4 linked regions of the Macaca mulatta genome follow. The main gene of each other region encodes a partner of the protein of the gene in region 4 in a complex. Links are inferred from orthologs where the notes say so. Each region holds a gene or a part of one and is shown on either strand. Other genes may lie near its edges. The genes, in order: DENND1B, ACAP2, RUSC2 and RAB35.

Evidence for each region.
Region 1: the proteins of RAB35 (region 4) and DENND1B are in contact, whole or in part, in a crystal structure (PDB 3TW8), measured with the Homo sapiens proteins. The link is inferred for Macaca mulatta from reciprocal best matches to the Homo sapiens genes RAB35 and DENND1B. Residues at the interface, in NP_006852.1 of Homo sapiens: Lys10, Leu12, Ser17, Ser36, Tyr37, Ile38, Thr39, Thr40, Ile41, Gly42, Val43, Asp44, Phe45, Gln60, Trp62, Thr64, Ala65, Gly66, Arg69, Phe70, Arg71, Thr72, Ile73, Thr74, Ser75, Thr76, Tyr77, Arg79, Gly80, Thr81; in NP_001182144.1 of Homo sapiens: Met1, Arg4, Glu43, Ser47, Phe51, Val72, Leu73, Thr74, Asp75, Ile76, Glu77, Ser78, His211, Glu212, Arg213, Arg214, Gln242, His243, Ile244, Ile246, Leu249, His252, Leu253, Asp255, Tyr256, Cys258, Ala259, Pro260, Met261, Pro262.
Region 2: the proteins of RAB35 (region 4) and ACAP2 are in contact, whole or in part, in a crystal structure (PDB 6IF3), measured with the Homo sapiens proteins. The link is inferred for Macaca mulatta from reciprocal best matches to the Homo sapiens genes RAB35 and ACAP2. Residues at the interface, in NP_006852.1 of Homo sapiens: Arg3, Asp4, Tyr5, Leu8, Ile41, Gly42, Val43, Asp44, Phe45, Ile47, Lys58, Gln60, Trp62, Phe70, Arg71, Thr72, Ile73, Thr76, Arg79; in NP_036419.3 of Homo sapiens: Val715, Ala718, Asn719, Ala720, Asp721, Val723, Thr724, Arg727, Leu728, Arg730, Met731, Glu734, Met735, Ser738, Glu748, Thr749, Gln751, Arg755, Asp756, Gln759, Met760.
Region 3: the proteins of RAB35 (region 4) and RUSC2 are in contact, whole or in part, in a crystal structure (PDB 6IF2), measured with the Homo sapiens proteins. The link is inferred for Macaca mulatta from reciprocal best matches to the Homo sapiens genes RAB35 and RUSC2. Residues at the interface, in NP_006852.1 of Homo sapiens: Asp4, Tyr5, Leu8, Phe9, Lys10, Ser22, Leu26, Asp30, Ile38, Thr40, Val43, Asp44, Phe45, Lys46, Ile47, Lys58, Gln60, Trp62, Thr76, Arg79, Gly80, His82; in NP_001129471.2 of Homo sapiens: Val997, Lys998, Asn1001, Asp1005, Val1008, Thr1013, Arg1015, Lys1020, Glu1119, Glu1155, Leu1158, Leu1159, Gln1161, Pro1162, Leu1165, Leu1166.

The regions. Positions count from the first base shown.
Region 1 is NC_133406.1:55,404,840-55,409,358, forward strand, and holds the start of DENND1B (DENN domain-containing protein 1B), read right to left. Parts: upstream 3,077-4,519; 5' UTR 2,941-3,076; coding exon 2,885-2,940; intron 1-2,884. UniProt on the Homo sapiens protein: Guanine nucleotide exchange factor (GEF) for RAB35 that acts as a regulator of T-cell receptor (TCR) internalization in TH2 cells. Acts by promoting the exchange of GDP to GTP, converting inactive GDP-bound RAB35 into its active GTP-bound form.
Region 2 is NC_133407.1:3,461,774-3,465,707, reverse strand, and holds part of ACAP2 (arf-GAP with coiled-coil, ANK repeat and PH domain-containing protein 2), read right to left. Parts: intron 3,458-3,934; coding exon 3,273-3,457; intron 2,377-3,272; coding exon 2,284-2,376; intron 62-2,283; coding exon 1-61. UniProt on the Homo sapiens protein: GTPase-activating protein (GAP) for ADP ribosylation factor 6 (ARF6). Doesn't show GAP activity for RAB35.
Region 3 is NC_133420.1:64,146,975-64,150,534, forward strand, and holds part of RUSC2 (AP-4 complex accessory subunit RUSC2), read right to left. Parts: intron 3,498-3,560; coding exon 3,312-3,497; intron 3,142-3,311; coding exon 3,001-3,141; intron 1,608-3,000; coding exon 1,531-1,607; intron 1,325-1,530; coding exon 1,150-1,324; intron 1,060-1,149; coding exon 954-1,059; intron 296-953; coding exon 249-295; intron 1-248. UniProt on the Homo sapiens protein: Associates with the adapter-like complex 4 (AP-4) and may therefore play a role in vesicular trafficking of proteins at the trans-Golgi network.
Region 4 is NC_133416.1:127,394,633-127,398,566, forward strand, and holds part of RAB35 (ras-related protein Rab-35), read right to left. Parts: intron 3,418-3,934; coding exon 3,294-3,417; intron 1-3,293. UniProt on the Homo sapiens protein: The small GTPases Rab are key regulators of intracellular membrane trafficking, from the formation of transport vesicles to their fusion with membranes.

The sequences.
Region 1 (4,519 bases), on a different chromosome or scaffold from region 4:
CACTTTCTTTCTGCCTAAAGTTCTTTCCCTTTTTTTTTCTTTCTTTTTTTTTTTTTTGAGTTGGAATGCATTTATTTATCCCTCATTCTTGAAAAATATTTTCAATGATGAATTCAAAGTTTACTGTTATTTCTTTCTGCATATTATCAATATCATTACACTATCTTCTAAGTTCCCTAGTAACAATTGGAACTTTGAAAGTAATCTTAAAATGTCATCTGTTTTTTCTCTCTGACTGCATATATGATTTTTCTTTTTTGTCTTTAGTTTTGTATAGTTTCACTGTGAAGTATCTAGTTGTAGATTTTTATTCATCCATCTTTCTTGGTTTCTTTAATTTTCTTGACTCTAGATTGGTGACTTTCATCAGTTCTGGAAAATTCTGGATTCCTTTCTTTCCATTCCTTCTGGGACTCTGATAACACATGTATTTTTCTACCCTCCATGTTTGTCAAACATCTCTTTTATAGTATGTCTCTCTTTTATCTCTCGAGGCTGTATTCTGGTAAATTTCAAAAATATTCTGTTCACTAGTTCTTTCTTCAGCTTTGTCTCATTTTCTGTCAAAGTCATCCATTTAGTTTCTAATTTATGTTATTTTTATTTCTAAAGTTCTGTTTGGTTATTTTCCAAATCTGTATTCTCTTAACTCATTTTTTCAGCCTCTCTTTAATTTATTAAAAACATTTAATATATATAGTTAAAATTCTATTTCTAAATATTCCAATATCTGAAGCATTTGTGAGTCTGCTTCTACTATCTGATCTTTTTTCTACTTGTTCTTACTTATGGTCCCTTGATTTCTTCTATGTATGTGATTTCTTTTTATGTTATGTGATCCTTAGAACTTTATATATAGAAATTGAGTGACAGCTGAAATGAAAATGAGTTCTCTGGAGAAGATACTAATTTACTGCTGGTAGATGCCTGGGATCACTAGCAATTCAGAACCATAAATACTAAATTCTCAGGTTGAAATTCTTCAGATCATTCATGTCAGACCTGGTTTGTAGCTATGAATCCTCTGGGAAGCTTTTTTACCCTTAACTCTGCTCCATTGTTTGAGACAATTGTCCTTGAATACCTTTGGGGTATTGGCTTTATGAAGAGTATCCTATTGGATTTCCTACATTAGGAAGGGTCTGAAGCCACGTAACACCATGATAACAGTTCATGGTCTTCCAGTTCATCCAGCTTAGGAAAAACCCTAAAGAGGAAGATGAAAGGTGGCTTTTTTTTTTTTTTTTGAGACGGAGTCTCACTCTGTGGCCAGGCTGGAGTACAGTGGTGTGATCTCGGCTCACTGCAACCTCCACCTCCTGGGTTCAAGCAATTCTTCTGCCTCAGCCTCCTGAGTAGCTGGGACTACAGGCACCTGCCACCACGCTTAGCTCATTTTTCTATTTTTAGTAGAGACAGGATTTCACCATGTTGGCCAGGATGGTCTCCATCTCTTGACCTCATGTTCCACCCCCATCGGCCTCCCAAAGTGCTGGGATTACAGGGAAAGGTGGCACTCGTGGCTACTTTTATTTGTCCCCCATCCTCCACCCCTAAATATTTCCACTTGATTGCTTGCTCTTTAATGCATTGTAAACTTTTTAAAATACTTAATTCTGAATTTTTAGTTGATTTTCATGAAAGTTTTGATCAGACTATAATGAATGATTACTTAGTTCTGACTATAGTGTCATGTAAAATGGACTAATTGCAACTTTTTATCCACCTAATAATGTCCACCTTCCTCAAACCATGTCCAAAAAGTCCCCAACTTATATATCCTTATATATTAACGGTGTAGAGAAACCCAAGTTCAGGGCTTTTAGTAAGCCAACTGCCCTGATTTCCAGTATACTATGACAACTGGAAAGGTAACCCCTGGCTTCCCAACCCCAACCACTTATTCATTGAATCCGTGTAGTAATATGCCTTAGACAGAAGTGAAGAGTTACTAATACCCAGGACTACTAAAGTTGACAGCTCCTTTCCCTTCTGAATATGAAATAATAAACACTATTATAAACTCTAGAATGGTATTTTTAAAAATAATACTATTAATAATGCTTCAGGTTCAATATAACTTTACTAGACTCATAAGCCTCACCAATATATATTAAGATTTTGAGTTCTAAACAATTAACTTAGAAATGAATTTTTTGAGGCAAGCATCTCATAAGTTGTAGCCAACATGTATCCAAGTCAGGTATTTCCTAGATTGTAACTCTACACAACCTCTGATTAGTATTCTTAGGTGAAATTTATGAATAGTATCACCACCTTCATTTATTATAGAAGAAAAGTTATGAAGTATTTAACAAATCAAATTTATTGACACTCTTAGGAAACTATCTTTAAATTATTTTATCAGGACCTGCCTTTTAATATTGACTGAGATAGTGTTGCTAAGGAAAACATTCTCCTGGCATGTTGTCCTTTTTATACTTAGCAGCAATATCATGAATTTGAATCTGAAGGTAAATCTCCCTCAACAAGACATGTGAAATACTTTTAAAATAAAGAGAGATGGAGGTAAGGATTTGGGAGCAATATCTTCCCTGAAAGTATGCCTTTCTGAGTTGTTTCACACCTCAAAGCTTATAGAGTTAGCATTCTATGTTGATTTAAAATCAAATTTAATAAAAACGGTTGTCTTCCAGTTTGTGGACAAAAGAACTCAGATAAATTTTGACATCTTTACTACGAAATCTGAACATATCCAAATATCTCTAACATTCAAGGGGTAAATGATGATATTTGTTTATTTTGCTGTTAAACTTTTAGTAAGAAAATATAGTAAAGTTATCAGAAATAATACAGCACAGCAAAAGATCTTCTTCTGCCTTTTTCAGGTGATTTGCCAAAAATCGTAAATAAATTTTCTTACCTCTGACCAGCTTCTGCATGTCCTCCCTTATCTTTGTTCCTCAATCTGCCAGACATTGTAGAGCTTAAAATAGTCCTTGGAGTTCAGAACAAAGAATAATTGAAGCAGAGTGTCACCAACAGATGGTAATCAGTGGAGTCAAATTTTCTTCAGAGATTCTTTAAGGATTCTCATTTGGACTTCAAGAAAGAGTGCTGTGTTTGTGTAACCCTGAGGCATTGCATGGGAAAGAATTTCCCAACCCCACCTACAAGATACTCCACATGAATACAGTCTTCCTTGTATGGCGGCTCTGCTCACACCCATTTAATACTCTCAGGAGAATGAGTAATCACATCCAATGAGCAATGTTATTAGAATTTACTGGAAGGAAACATAAATGATCATCTAACATGATGATAATAGTTCAACAGAATCAGCAGCCCCTATAAGCAACCTTAGTACTAATGTAAATAGAGAGATTATCAAAACAAATTGCTATGTGCCAAGTACTGCTTTCCTAAAATATGAGAAAATAACTAGGCAAACATTACATGCATTTGTATATGATCGATTCTAGAAGGGAAAAAATGCAACATTCCAGCAAATAGAACTCAGTCAAATACCAGGTCAAACGGTATAATTCCACAGCAGAAGTTCCTATGAATCATAAACAGAGATTTGAAACTCCAAAACAGATGACAAACTCCCAGTCTCTTACTATTGCAAATTATAACAAGATAAAAATGAACAAGGACTGAGAGTTCTTCTGGGCTTCAAAAGTTTGGACATCATCTTTCTCTCTGCTGTTGTTTTTGATGTCACAGACCCAAGTCTTAGGCAAGTAAGACTTGCCCAAAAATGGTCTTATCAGACCATTTTGTAATCTTCTGTGGGAAAGAAGGAACAGCAGAATTGTAGTGCTGTGAAACTGATCAAGGTCTTCTTAGTTTGGTGAGAACTTACATGTTTCCTTGTAAAAAGGATGCAGTCTCACCTGACTTTCTTCATTCACGGTGCACAATTCCAGTAGTTTCTTCCTTTCTTCTTGAGATTGCCAATCAAGACAACTGGACTTGGCTGGAATGGGAAGGAGGATTTTGGACCCATGTTCCTGTCCGTATGCCTGACCATAGGCATGTGACTTACTAAAATTCCTGCATCGGTGTATAGTGACTTCGTTCTGCCTGCTGCACAGCTGTTTCCTGGGCCTTCCCTTCACTTCCCTCTTGGACTGAGTTATGGATCAGGAACATATAACATTAGCATGTATACTGTGCATAATAATTATACTGTGTTCTCCCTATGGTTACTTAATAAAACCACCAAATAGGTGCTGCTAATTCGGATTCTGTGATGATGTAGGTACAGCCATTGATTATTACACAACCCATTTATATACCTATCTGATTTTTAATACAAACATGTTGTACTTCCTCTTTAAATAAGCAGGCATTAATTATCACATAATTTATGCAAGAATTCATGAGGAGAGGCTTAATATTAGAATTAGTAGGATGGTTTTAAATCAAGTGGCCTACTAGAAACAACTTACTCCAGCAAACCAGCAGGCTTAACTACTCCCAGTTTGTGGAAAAAAAAAAAGAAAACTTTAACATTTGAGTCACTATATCACTTCATACACAAAGACTTCAT
Region 2 (3,934 bases), on a different chromosome or scaffold from region 4:
TGAAGTCCTGGATTAAGATGTTTCGAGTCCAGAAACACGGAAGAATCTTGCCTTTCTCCTTCTGAAAAGCAAACACAAATACATCAATAAAAATGAGCTCTTGGCAGAAAAAGAAAAAAAATATTTAATAGGTATAGTTTCAGTTTAACAAGATAAAAAGAGTTCTGTGGATGAATGGCAGTAATGGTAGCACACTAATGTGAATACACTTAATGCCACTAAACTGTACACTTAAAAATGGTTAAGATGGGCCAGGCACAGTGGCTCATGCCTGTAATCCCAGCACTTTGGGAGGCCGAGGCGGATGGATCACTTGAGGTCAGGAGTTCAAAACTAGCCTGGACAACATGGTGAAACCTCGTCTTTACTAAAAATACAGAAATTAGCCAGGCATAGTAGCAGGGACCTGTAATCCCATCCACCTGGGAGACTGAGGCAGGAGAATCACTTGAACCTGGGAGGCGGAGCTTGCAGTGAGCTGAGACTGCACCACTGCACTCCAGCCTGGGCAACAGAGTGAGACCCAGTCTCCAAAAAAAAAAAAAAAAGGTTAAGATAAATTTTATGTGCATTTTATCATAATTTTTAAAAAATAAAGCTATGATATAAGAAACCATTAATCTATCATAATGAGCTTATGGGAGATTTTCACATAGATATTCCCCAACATTCCACCTTCTTCTCCTATAAAGACAATCACTGATACGTCAGGCCTTTCTGTTCTTGCCAGTATCCAAGGGATAGGCTAATTACTCTGTACTATATTAAAATTGAGTATATTCCTAAATGTTGGGACTTAAGAAGCAGCAAGAATCCATAAAAACTTTTACTACTAGACCAAACCTCCCTTCATTCCTAGGATGGTCCAATTCCATCCCAATTTGCACTACAAGCACTTCAAATAATTTAAGGAGTGCTGACTCCCCTGAGTATTCTGCAGGACCAAAATCACTGAAATCATGGAAGAGAGAACAAAGGCATAAAGCACAAGTCAAAAGAGAAATCTAATGGGGAGGGAGTTGCCGATCTCATTCTCCTGATAGGACAGCCACAAGGAATGATAAAGGATAATAAGACACACAGTTCACGTGGATTAAAAATTATCCATGGCAGTTGGTAAGGCAATTTTAGCACATACCATGAGGCTTGGAAGAATGTACAATTATGGGTCAGGTGTGCTGGCTGATGCCTATAATCCCAGCATTTTGGGAGGCTGAGACAGGTGGATTACTTGAGGTCAGGAGTTCAAGACCAGCCTGGCCAACATGGTGAAACCCCATCTCTACTAAAAATACAAAAATTGGCTGTGCACGGTGGCATACACCTATAACCCAGCTACTCAGGAGGCTAAGTGGGAGAACTGCATGAACCCAGAAGGTGGAGGTTGCAGTGAGCCAATATTGTGCCACTGCACTCCAGCCTGGACAACAGAGTGAGACTCAAAATAAAAAATAAAATGTAGGCCAGGTGCGGTGGCTCACGCCTGTAATCCCAGCACTTTGGGAGGCCGAGGTGGGTGGATCACGAAGTCAGGAGATCGAGACCATCCTGGCTAACGCATTGAAACCCCATCTCTATTAAAAATACAAAAAAAAAAAAAAAATTAGGCATGGTGGTGGGCATCTGTAGTCCCAGCTACTCAGGAGGCTGAAGCAGGCGAATGGCGTGAACCCGGGAGGCGGAGCTTGCAGTGAGCAGAGATCACACCACCGCACCCCATCCTGGGTGACAGAGTGAGACTCCATCTCAAAAATAAATAAATAAATAAAAATTTTAAAAATGTATGAACAATATATAACTAGGACAGAATTTCCAAATATGAAGAAATTGCTGCTTTCTCATTTAAGAGTATTACTCCTCCCCTAGTTACCTTCTAAAAAACTAACCCCTTCCTTTAAAATATTTCATCAAGAGTAGGGCCAGGCGCTCAAATCCCAGCACTTTGAGGGGCTAAGGCAGGTGGATCGCGAGGTCAGGAGTTTGAGACCAGCCTGGCCAACATGGTGAAACCCCGTCCCTACTAAAAACCCAAAAATTAGCTGGGTGTGGTGGTGGGTTCCTGTAATCCCAGCTACTCAGGAGGCTGAGGCAGGAGAATCACTTGAAACTGGAAGGCAGAGGTTGCAGTGAGCCAAGATCACAACACTGCACTCCAGTCTGGGCAGTAAAACTCCATCTCAAAAAAAAAAATATATATATATATATAAAATCAAGAATAGACATTTACCACATGCATTTTTCAGCAAACAAAACCAATTAACATTGAGTTTCATCAGAACTCACCAGGCTCATATAAACTATTGGCTGACACTGTGGAGGGTAAAGATTCTCTTCCATCATCAGAGCTCTGCTGAATTCCACTGTCATTACTTTTGACTGTTTTAAAGAAAAATTAACTAATGATTAAAGTTCATGCCATTTAGAAAACAATCTCCCACAAACAAGGTTTTAAAATGAGCTCTTACACATCAACATGAACTCAGGCACCACGAGTAGAATGCGTTTAATATAATTTTAACCCTTTTCAACACTTAGCTTATCAAGATATAAATCAATCACAAAACCTGAAAATAAACTTATTTTCAGAGTTGTAACACATCTCATTACTCCATAATATGTCAGGGGTAGTAAAGAGCTTAATTTATGATATGACTGTAAGAATGTGTAATTCTCAGACAATGGGTAACATCTACAGAGATGGCCACACCGCACAATGACCACTGGCACAGACTTGGAATGCTCCACAAGAGTAGTACTTACTACTACGCAGTTTTGAAGAAGTATCAAAGTAGGAGAAGAGTGAATCTAGCTCATCAGGACAAAACAGAGACTCCCGCCTGGCCTCGTCGCTATTTACAGCAATCACTGGGGACATGCAAGTTAGCAAAGCACAAAGCAGGCCATAAGAAGGGAAAAGGGCAGGAAAAAACGTTACTGGGAAAAAATTTAGGAGGAAAAAATAGGAAGGAAATCAGGTAGTTAATCAGATACTTAGGGCTTTTGGAATGTCAGGTTTACAATTCCCATCTCCCCTTGCATTTTAAGCAGTTTTATTCCTTAGAATATACGTATTACCTAGAAAGGTGAAATATTATGGCATTGTTTAAAGTTAACTATTTTAAAGACATAGAAATTCAGTTTTTCTTAGAATATGTAGAAGGGAACAGGTTTTTAACATTAAAAAATATGACAATGACTATTAGTTCAGGGATTATAAAAGTGATCTGAGCTTAAGAAAACAGCTATAGACACAGTAAGAAAGTTTGCAATACCTGAACTTTGGGCAGATGCTCTGACTTGGTCCCCTGGCCCAAACTTAGAAATGCTCAGCCTCTTTTCTTCAGAACTCTTAGAGACAAACTTTTTTTGCTGCTCAGGAGGTGATAATGATATAGAATATTTATCCACAAATTTCCTCTCCACATATTTTGCTTTGATATATGCCTCCTTCTCCTGTCTGATATACATAAAAATGTCATGATGTTGTGCTTAACCTCTTAGCATGGCTAATACTAAACAAACCATTATATACTGAATATATTCAAACAAAGTCACTGAATGTAATACTGGTTAAAACTGAATCTGTGACATTATACACATATATATTATGTTTTCCTTCCAAATACCTAATGAACTATGATTTCACACTCAAGTGAAATATAAACAATAACCTAACTGAAAAATCACAAATATTAATATGATACTCTTCCTTTCTCTTAATTTCTGTGCTATTCATTTCTATACTCCCCTCATGCTTTTTGCAGAGTAGAAAACATCACCAGAAAAAATACTTAAACATTTATAGAAAGTAACTTTTTCATTTTTACTCAAAGAAATAATTTCACATACTGAACTAGCACTACTGATGGCCATAATTTTTCGTAAGACCACTTTAAAACAACATATAGCATTATTAATTTAAGAAGAAATAAAA
Region 3 (3,560 bases), on a different chromosome or scaffold from region 4:
CTTCAGGTGATCCACCTGCCTCGGCCTCCCAAAGTGCTGGGATTACAGGCCTGAGCCACCGTGCCTGGCCCAAGGTTTTAACTCAAGCAGAGGCTGGGGAAGGCCTTGGGTGGAAGCCTGAGGCTCTGAGGATGAACGCTTGTGTCGTCCCCCTCCCCACCTCCAGCAATGAAAAGAGCTCTTCCTTCCTCTTTTGTGCCTCTGAATTCTGACCCATTGAGTTTGACCTGCAGGGTTCTGGGCATTACCTTCATGGTTATAGAGGTGATTAAACCAGAACTCCAGGGACCGGATGCTGTAGGGAGACAGGTGAAGACAGTTGAGTCTTGTGTGAATACAGCCAGATAAGGAGACAGATCCAGGGGGCCAGGCACAGGAAGAATAGGTGAACGCACCCTTCCATGGCACGATTCATTTCACCTAATTCCAGAGAGTCAGTGGGGATGTGTGGAGGGAGATGGACATGTGATTTACAAGCCAATTGCTTCCCCCTGGAGTGAAGTCAGCCTGCAGTAGACCTAAGAAATCAAGGTGGCTACTGTGTGAAAGTACAGGCAGCTCAGGGCCAAAGGAGATGGCCTGGGCCCATACCTGAGAAAGCATGTTACTAGGATGTGGGTCCCAAGGTGGACTTAGGGTCAAGCAGGATTTGGAAGTGGTGCTGGAATGGAGAGGATCAGGGTTTACAAGGTCCAGAGAAATTAAGAAACCCAACTAATTTCCGAATAAGTCAGATTACAGATTTGTAAAAGCAGCCCACGCTGGTGACCAGTGTCAGAGTCATGGGCACAGTGGGAAGGCAGTGACTTACTGAGAGGTCATAGCAGACTGGGAGGACCCTCCAGATCCACCCTTTCTGTCTGTCCAGGGAGTTGGTTCCTTGGCACAGGCAGAGCCCGGGGGTCGGGGGCAGAGCAAGTTGTTTAGGGGATCTTGCCGCTCTGTGCACTCACTTGAGCAGGCCGAGGATGAAGGCGTTGAAGCGCATGGTATGACTGGTGAGCTCTGGGAATTGGCTGACTTTGTTGTAGAGGCCATGCAGGACCTTGGTGGATGGGCCTGGGAGGAAGCCAGGGTTGCAGGTCACATGACCAATTTCTGGAACCCTAAATTCAGCCCCGGGTCCCCGTCTTGGCACCCAGCACCTACCTAGCTGTGTGGAAGCCTCAACCACACTCCATGGCATGTTCTTACGCTGCCCGATGATGACGTCCAGTACAAAGGCCTTGAGCCCATCCTCCAGCACAGCGCGGACAGCAGGGCACAAGTACTTCAGAACCAGGTGGCCCACATTGGGGCTCACAGAACTGTTTCCCAGCTTTGCCTGTAGGTGTGGTAGGGAAGTGCAGTAAACTGCCTCAGGCCTGACCGTGGTCCTCTCATGGCAGGCCCTCATGGTTCCCCTCTTGCCATCCCCATTCCTAAGTACCCAACCCTGGGCTCTAAATGCAAGACAGCAAGGGAAGGTGGTAGCGCAGGACAGGTAAGGGCGTGCAGGCAGAGCTCAGCTCTTCACATTTCCTCGCCTACCTTCACCCCGGGATCCCGGCTTGTGCCAAAATGGGCCACAATGAGGTCCACAGCGGTGTTAACAGCTTTTACCAGCCCTGCAAGGAAGAATGTGATGTGACAGGTCCCTGAGCAAGTCCTTAGCCAACTCAGCTGGGGCTGAAACTTCAGCGGGGGTGGGAAAGGGCTCCCACACTTACTCAGTCTCCACACCTGCATGTGGGTCTCATCAGAACATTCAGGCCTGGCCCTTTTCTGGTTCTACCCAGTTCTTAAGCTCTTCCTGTCTACTTCCCAGCCTGGAGCCACCTCAATGATGCCATTGTCAAGCCTCCCAATGTCCTCACCTCTCAGTCCTCTTATTCCAATCCTGGCTCAGGCCAACTATCAGTTTTCTCCACTCTGAGAAACCAGGCCACTGACCTGAAGAAAACCCAAGTCCCTCACACCAGTGCCAGACAAGGGCGATTCTTTGATACGTGCTTTGTCAGCACTCCCTGCCATACCCTCAAGTTGCCATGTGAAATCGACACCACTCCTCTCAAGCCCTTGGTTCTGCTTCAGAGAACAGGGGCCCCTAGTTATAAACTCTTTTAACTTCCCTCTGCCTCCAAAATTCGTAACAATCTCATATGTACACCCCTCACTCCCCTGCCCACTTGCATCCCCTTCATGTCCTGGAGGAAGGTGGCTGTTTCCCTTCTTGCCCGGGTTCTTTCTCCCTGAGCTCTGATTCTCCCCTTCTGCCTTTGCAGGGAACTTAAGCTCTCTTCACAGGCTCATCTTCAGCCCACAATTATGCTCAGTTCTCTCCATCTCCCTAAAAATGTTCTTAGAGTGGGTCTTGTCAGTCTTCATCTTACTAGATGTCACCAACACGCTTACCCAAGCTGCCAGGCCCTCTAGTACCTTCACCTGCCCCTCCAAGAGCACTGAGGCATTTTTTGATGACATGGAAGCCTCCTCATGAGACTTTGCTCACTGCAGGAAGGGACTGGAGCCCGACTCCGAAAGCGTCTGATGAATGACCCTTGCTCAGTCATATGCACTCATGATATACAGCTTTCTCCTCCGACCCTAGAGCCTGGAGATTTGTTTGTTTGTTTTTTTTTGAAATGGAGTTTTCACTTCTGTTGCCCAGGCTGGAGTACAATGGTGTGATCTCAGCTCACTGCAACCTCCACCTCCTGGGTTCAAATGATTCTCCTGCCTCAGCCTCCCGAGTAGCTGGGATTACAGGCACCCACCACCACGCCCAGCAAATTTTTTTTGTATTTTTAGTAGAGATGGGGTTTCACCATGTTGGCCAGGCTGGTCTCGAACTCCTGACCTCATGATCCACCTGCCTTGGCCTCCCAAAGTGCTGTGATTACAGGCTTGAGCCACCGGGCCCAGCCAGCACGTAGAGATTTAAGACTGGCTAGGTAGTAGGGCAAGTGTGAGGAGGTAGTGACAGCAGAGTCCCTGGCCTGAGCTGGGGGTTATATGCACCTTTTTTCTGAAGCAGGTCAATGGAAATGGCCTCTGAGCTGCCATCTGGGGACAGACAAAACTCAGCTGGAGGCTTCTCCGTCAAGGAAAAGGGGTCCTGGAAGTCAGGGCAGGTCAGTGGAAACGGCTTCAATGCTTGGCCTGGAAAGAAGAGAAAAGTCAATCCTGAGCAACTCTCGGTGCAGGAGTTCCAGCCCAGTTCAGTGCCTTGTACTGTCTGAGACATGTTCCTTTGGGACTGACCCCTTCTCTAGCCCTTCCCAGCCATGGCAGAGCCTGCCCCGGGTGTACTGGGGACCCTGCTCACACACCATTCAGCCGGCAGTTCAGATGGCTGGCAGCACTGAGGGAGCCAGGGAACTCAAAGATAGGGTTTCTTCGGGCCAGCCGAGCTTCTTGTGATCTTCGGTCTAGGATCCCTGACAAACCGGGTGGCCCTAGTGGGTTCTTCCTCCTGTATTCCCGCCACTTAAGGGCTTGAGGGGATAGGTGGTTGGCTGGAAGCAGACAGATCAGCAGAAAGACAAGAGTTGGCAGGAGACAGTGAGACAGTTTGACAC
Region 4 (3,934 bases):
TTCCCAGGGCTTCATCCTGCCCACAGTTTTGCTTCCAGGGCAGCATCGCTCCTTGGCTTTGGGGTAGCTGTCTTGCCACTGAGCCCACGAACTAGCTCTAGCCTTGGCAGCTGCTGCTGAGAGCGCCGGGTCAGCACACAGCATGGCGTGTCAGACGCCTTCCAGAGCGAGGGCGCGCCAGAGCCACAGGAACAGGCGACTGTCCCCTGCCAGCAGAGGAAGCCCAAGGAGTGGATGGCTCTGCAGACTCTCCTTTGCTGAAGATGATCAGAGATGCCAAGAAACGCCTACAACCATGGCCCCGGCACAGAGCCCCCGCGGCTCCCTGGGCGCCTCCGCCTCATCTGGGGCCCAGGACAGGGGCTTTATGTAAGAGCAGAAAATGTGTCTGGGGATGAAGTCAGGGGCTCAGAGCTCTGGCTAGGAGGAACCAGAGCACCGAGGCTTCCCATGGCCACCAGGAATCGCCTTCACTCATGGGGACTCTGCTCTAGGCCAGGCACAGAGCTGGGGGCTTGGGATCCATGACCTTATTAATCTCTGCAGCCACCTGATCCAGCAGACCTCAGGTTGGCCATGTGACCAGCGAGGACGTGAGGCTGAGTGCGGCGGCCAGCTGGAAGTCCTGGCGCTCAGGGCTGACTCCCAGGCCCAATGCCAGGGCCTTGCCTTCCTTGTCACTTCTCCCCTCACCTCCACCCCACCCGCACCTCTCAGGGCTGGCAAACCTCAGCTTCTGAGAGCAAGAACTCGAGAGGGGGTGACCACAGGGCTCTTTCTCACCAGGCTAACAGGATGCGGTTTCGGTTTCTCTTTGAATGCCCTGCGTCGGAAAAAGTCACGCTACTACATCCTGACTGCCCCATTCCTGAAAACTCCTCATCTCACCAAAACTCCTTCCTTCTTTGCCAGTGACCATCAAAGGGCGTCGAGACTTCCAGGGGCCCCTCAGTGCGCCCTGCTGGGCCTCCTGCCTCATGAGGGCCAGAGTGGGACTCCAAGATGGAGCTACCTCTCTGCTTCCCCAGACAGGTGGGACTCCATCTGGGGCCCAGCAGCTGCCCACAGGCTGCCCCTTCCCAAGCCCCCTGGGAAAACCCATGATGCTCCCAAGAAGCCGAGTGACTCCTCCCCACCTCCCCACAGATGGAGGAACCAGTTCACCCTCTTCGCGCCCTGCCCAGCCTGGAAAGCAGCTGACTGCATGGTGACAGGGAGGGGCTGTGGCTCCTCCTGCTGAAAGAGCCTCAGACCCCCCCAGGCCCCACAGCCCTGCCCAAAGGGTTCATTCCTCATGGCCACGGGCCTCCAAACCTCTGCTGCCCTGACCTCCACCTGGTTTGAAGGCACAGGATGGGGCGGGAAAGCAGGGGTACCACCTGACCAGCTGGTGCAGGGCCTCGGCAGCCTCAGGGCCAATCCTGAGTGCCCCCAACCCCCGCCCCCCGAGTTAGGAGGCTTCTTCCTCCCTGGGCCTGTTTTCCTGTCCATAAAATGGAGATAGTCACAGGTCTCTCTACCGGGATTAACCGAAATAAAGCAGCTGAAATCCTAGCGACAGGCCCAACCCAGAGCAAGGACGCGAGAGGTCAGCACCCAGACCAGCCCTGGCCAGAGCATGAGGGCTTGTCTCGCCTGGGCTGCGCTGCCCAAAGCACTGATGCCAGCCCTGCCCCAGCGTCCTCCGCAGGTTCTCACTGGCAGCTGCCAAGACATGCAGGCCACAGAGCCCTCGCTCACGGGACTCATCAACAGTCACCACACAGCACCACACCCGGGCGACCCCAGGACTGGGAGCTCCCAGGGATTCGGGGCATCACAGGCCGCAGCACAAATGCGCTCAGCATAGGGTGAACCCAGTGACAAGCCCTCTGCCTCGACTCCAGCCCCAGGAGCTGCTCGCCCAGTGCACCTGTCCCTCCTCCAGCAGCCCTGCTCTCCCCCACACTCCCAGCCACCCATGGGGGCGCTGCACCCCACACTTCCCGCCCTTGGGAGATGCCGAGGGGTCCGGGGTGGGCAGCCAGCCTGGGGAGTACCCAGCTTTCATGCTGTGGGGAGGGAGGGGACCGCTGGCCGGGACTTCCTCATTCGCCTTCCTGAGGTCACTTCCAGAGAGAGCCGAGGAGGTGTCTGTGGAGCCAGACAGCGCCCCTCACTCTTCACAGGCTACTGTGTGGAGCACAGGCTCGGCCGATGGGAGGGACCCCTCCAGGGCACCCTCTGTCAAATGGGATGACAGCAGCACCGAGCACACGGAGCTGCAGACACCAAACCCCGGCCACGCACGTTGACGGCTGCGGCAGAGCACCCAGCACCCTCCACATGGAAGCCAATCCCAGAGGCAGTCCCTCCAGGAAACGAGCGCAGAGAGCTTCGGCAACTTGCCTAAGGACACACAGTCCAACAGCTCCAAATCGGTCCCTTCAGACCCCGCTCTTCCCTAAAACCTGCTCCATTAACAACGCAATAACCAGGAGCTGCTCCGAAGGACACTGTCCATCTGCGCTGGAGCCCAGCTTCCCCCGGCCTGCAGCTTAGCCACAACGGCGGGCAACTGGTGGGCGGCCGGATTTCCCAGGAACAGCTTTAAGGGGAGGGAAGGGCCTGCTGACATGCACCAACAGGTCTCTGGACAGCGTCACCTCCAAGGCATCAGGGTGGGTGACGGGAGCCTGCACAGGCCAACTCCAGCTGCCATAACTGACACCTACCAAGAGGAATTGTCAGTGACTAAGTCCTGGGCGGGCAGGGCACTCTGCAACCCCCTAGTAAGGCAAACGCTATTCTGCTCCCTCTGTAAGGTGACGGCGCAGTGGGCTGGAGGGTCGGCTGACTCTCCAAGGAGGCTGAACATGGCCACTGTCCGGCCATCCGGCCAGACTCCAGCCAGGGTGCTCAGCGACTCCCCCTACAGCATTCCCCTCACACCTTCAGGACTGGGAAGGGTGCAACCAAACGCCATCTACTACAGCCAACAACAGGCTCACTTCCCGACAGCCTCAGGGACCCTCAGTGACATTTCCACCATGCAGGCACCAGTCGCTCAACCATGTCCACAGGTCAATGATGTGGGTTGGGTGGGACGGGGCGGGCACAGGTCAGTGGCGTGGGTTGGGTGGGAGGGGGCGGGCACAGGTCAGTGGCGCGGGTTGGGTGGGAGGGGCGGGCACAGGTCGGTGGCGCGGGTTGGGTGGGAGGGGGCGGGCACAGGTCAGTGATGTGGGTTGAGTGGGAGTGGGCGGGCACAGGTCAGTGGCGCGGGTTGGGTGGGAGTGAGCAGGTGGACTCACGTGGAGGTGATGGTGCGGAAGCGCTCCTGCCCCGCTGTGTCCCAGATCTGCAGCTTCACCTTCTCTCCATTGATCTCCACGGTCCGGATCTTGAAATCCACTCCGATCGTGGTGATGTAGCTGCCTGCACACACAGGGCAGTTAACGAGGCCCGAGGCGGTATCCTCCCAGGCCCCGAGCCCCACACTGCACACAACACACCCCCAGGCTCCCCCACTCTCCTGACTCATTACATATGCCTGGCACATTCTAGGTCCCAGGGACACAGCCCTGAACATCCTTGTTCACAAGGTCCCTCCACACAAGTGAAGGAGGGAGACAGGATGCAAGGAAACAAACAAAGGGGACAATTTCCAAGAGTGAATAGTGACACATAGGAAATAACACGGGATGGGACTGGTGGGAGCGGGACAGGCTCCTTTAGAGTGGCTAGGTGGGGACACACCAGCTGTGTCTGAGAATGGTAGACCTACAGGCACTCTGGGTTTTTCTTTTCAATTCAAAGAAATTTTAGGGCCCTCAAAATTCACTTCAAAACACACAAATAGGTCATGAGCTACAGTCCAAAAACCACTGCTCTAGGCAGGGGAGATAGTAGCAAAAACAGCCGTGGGTGGGGGTGGTCACGTGAGCTCAAGCCC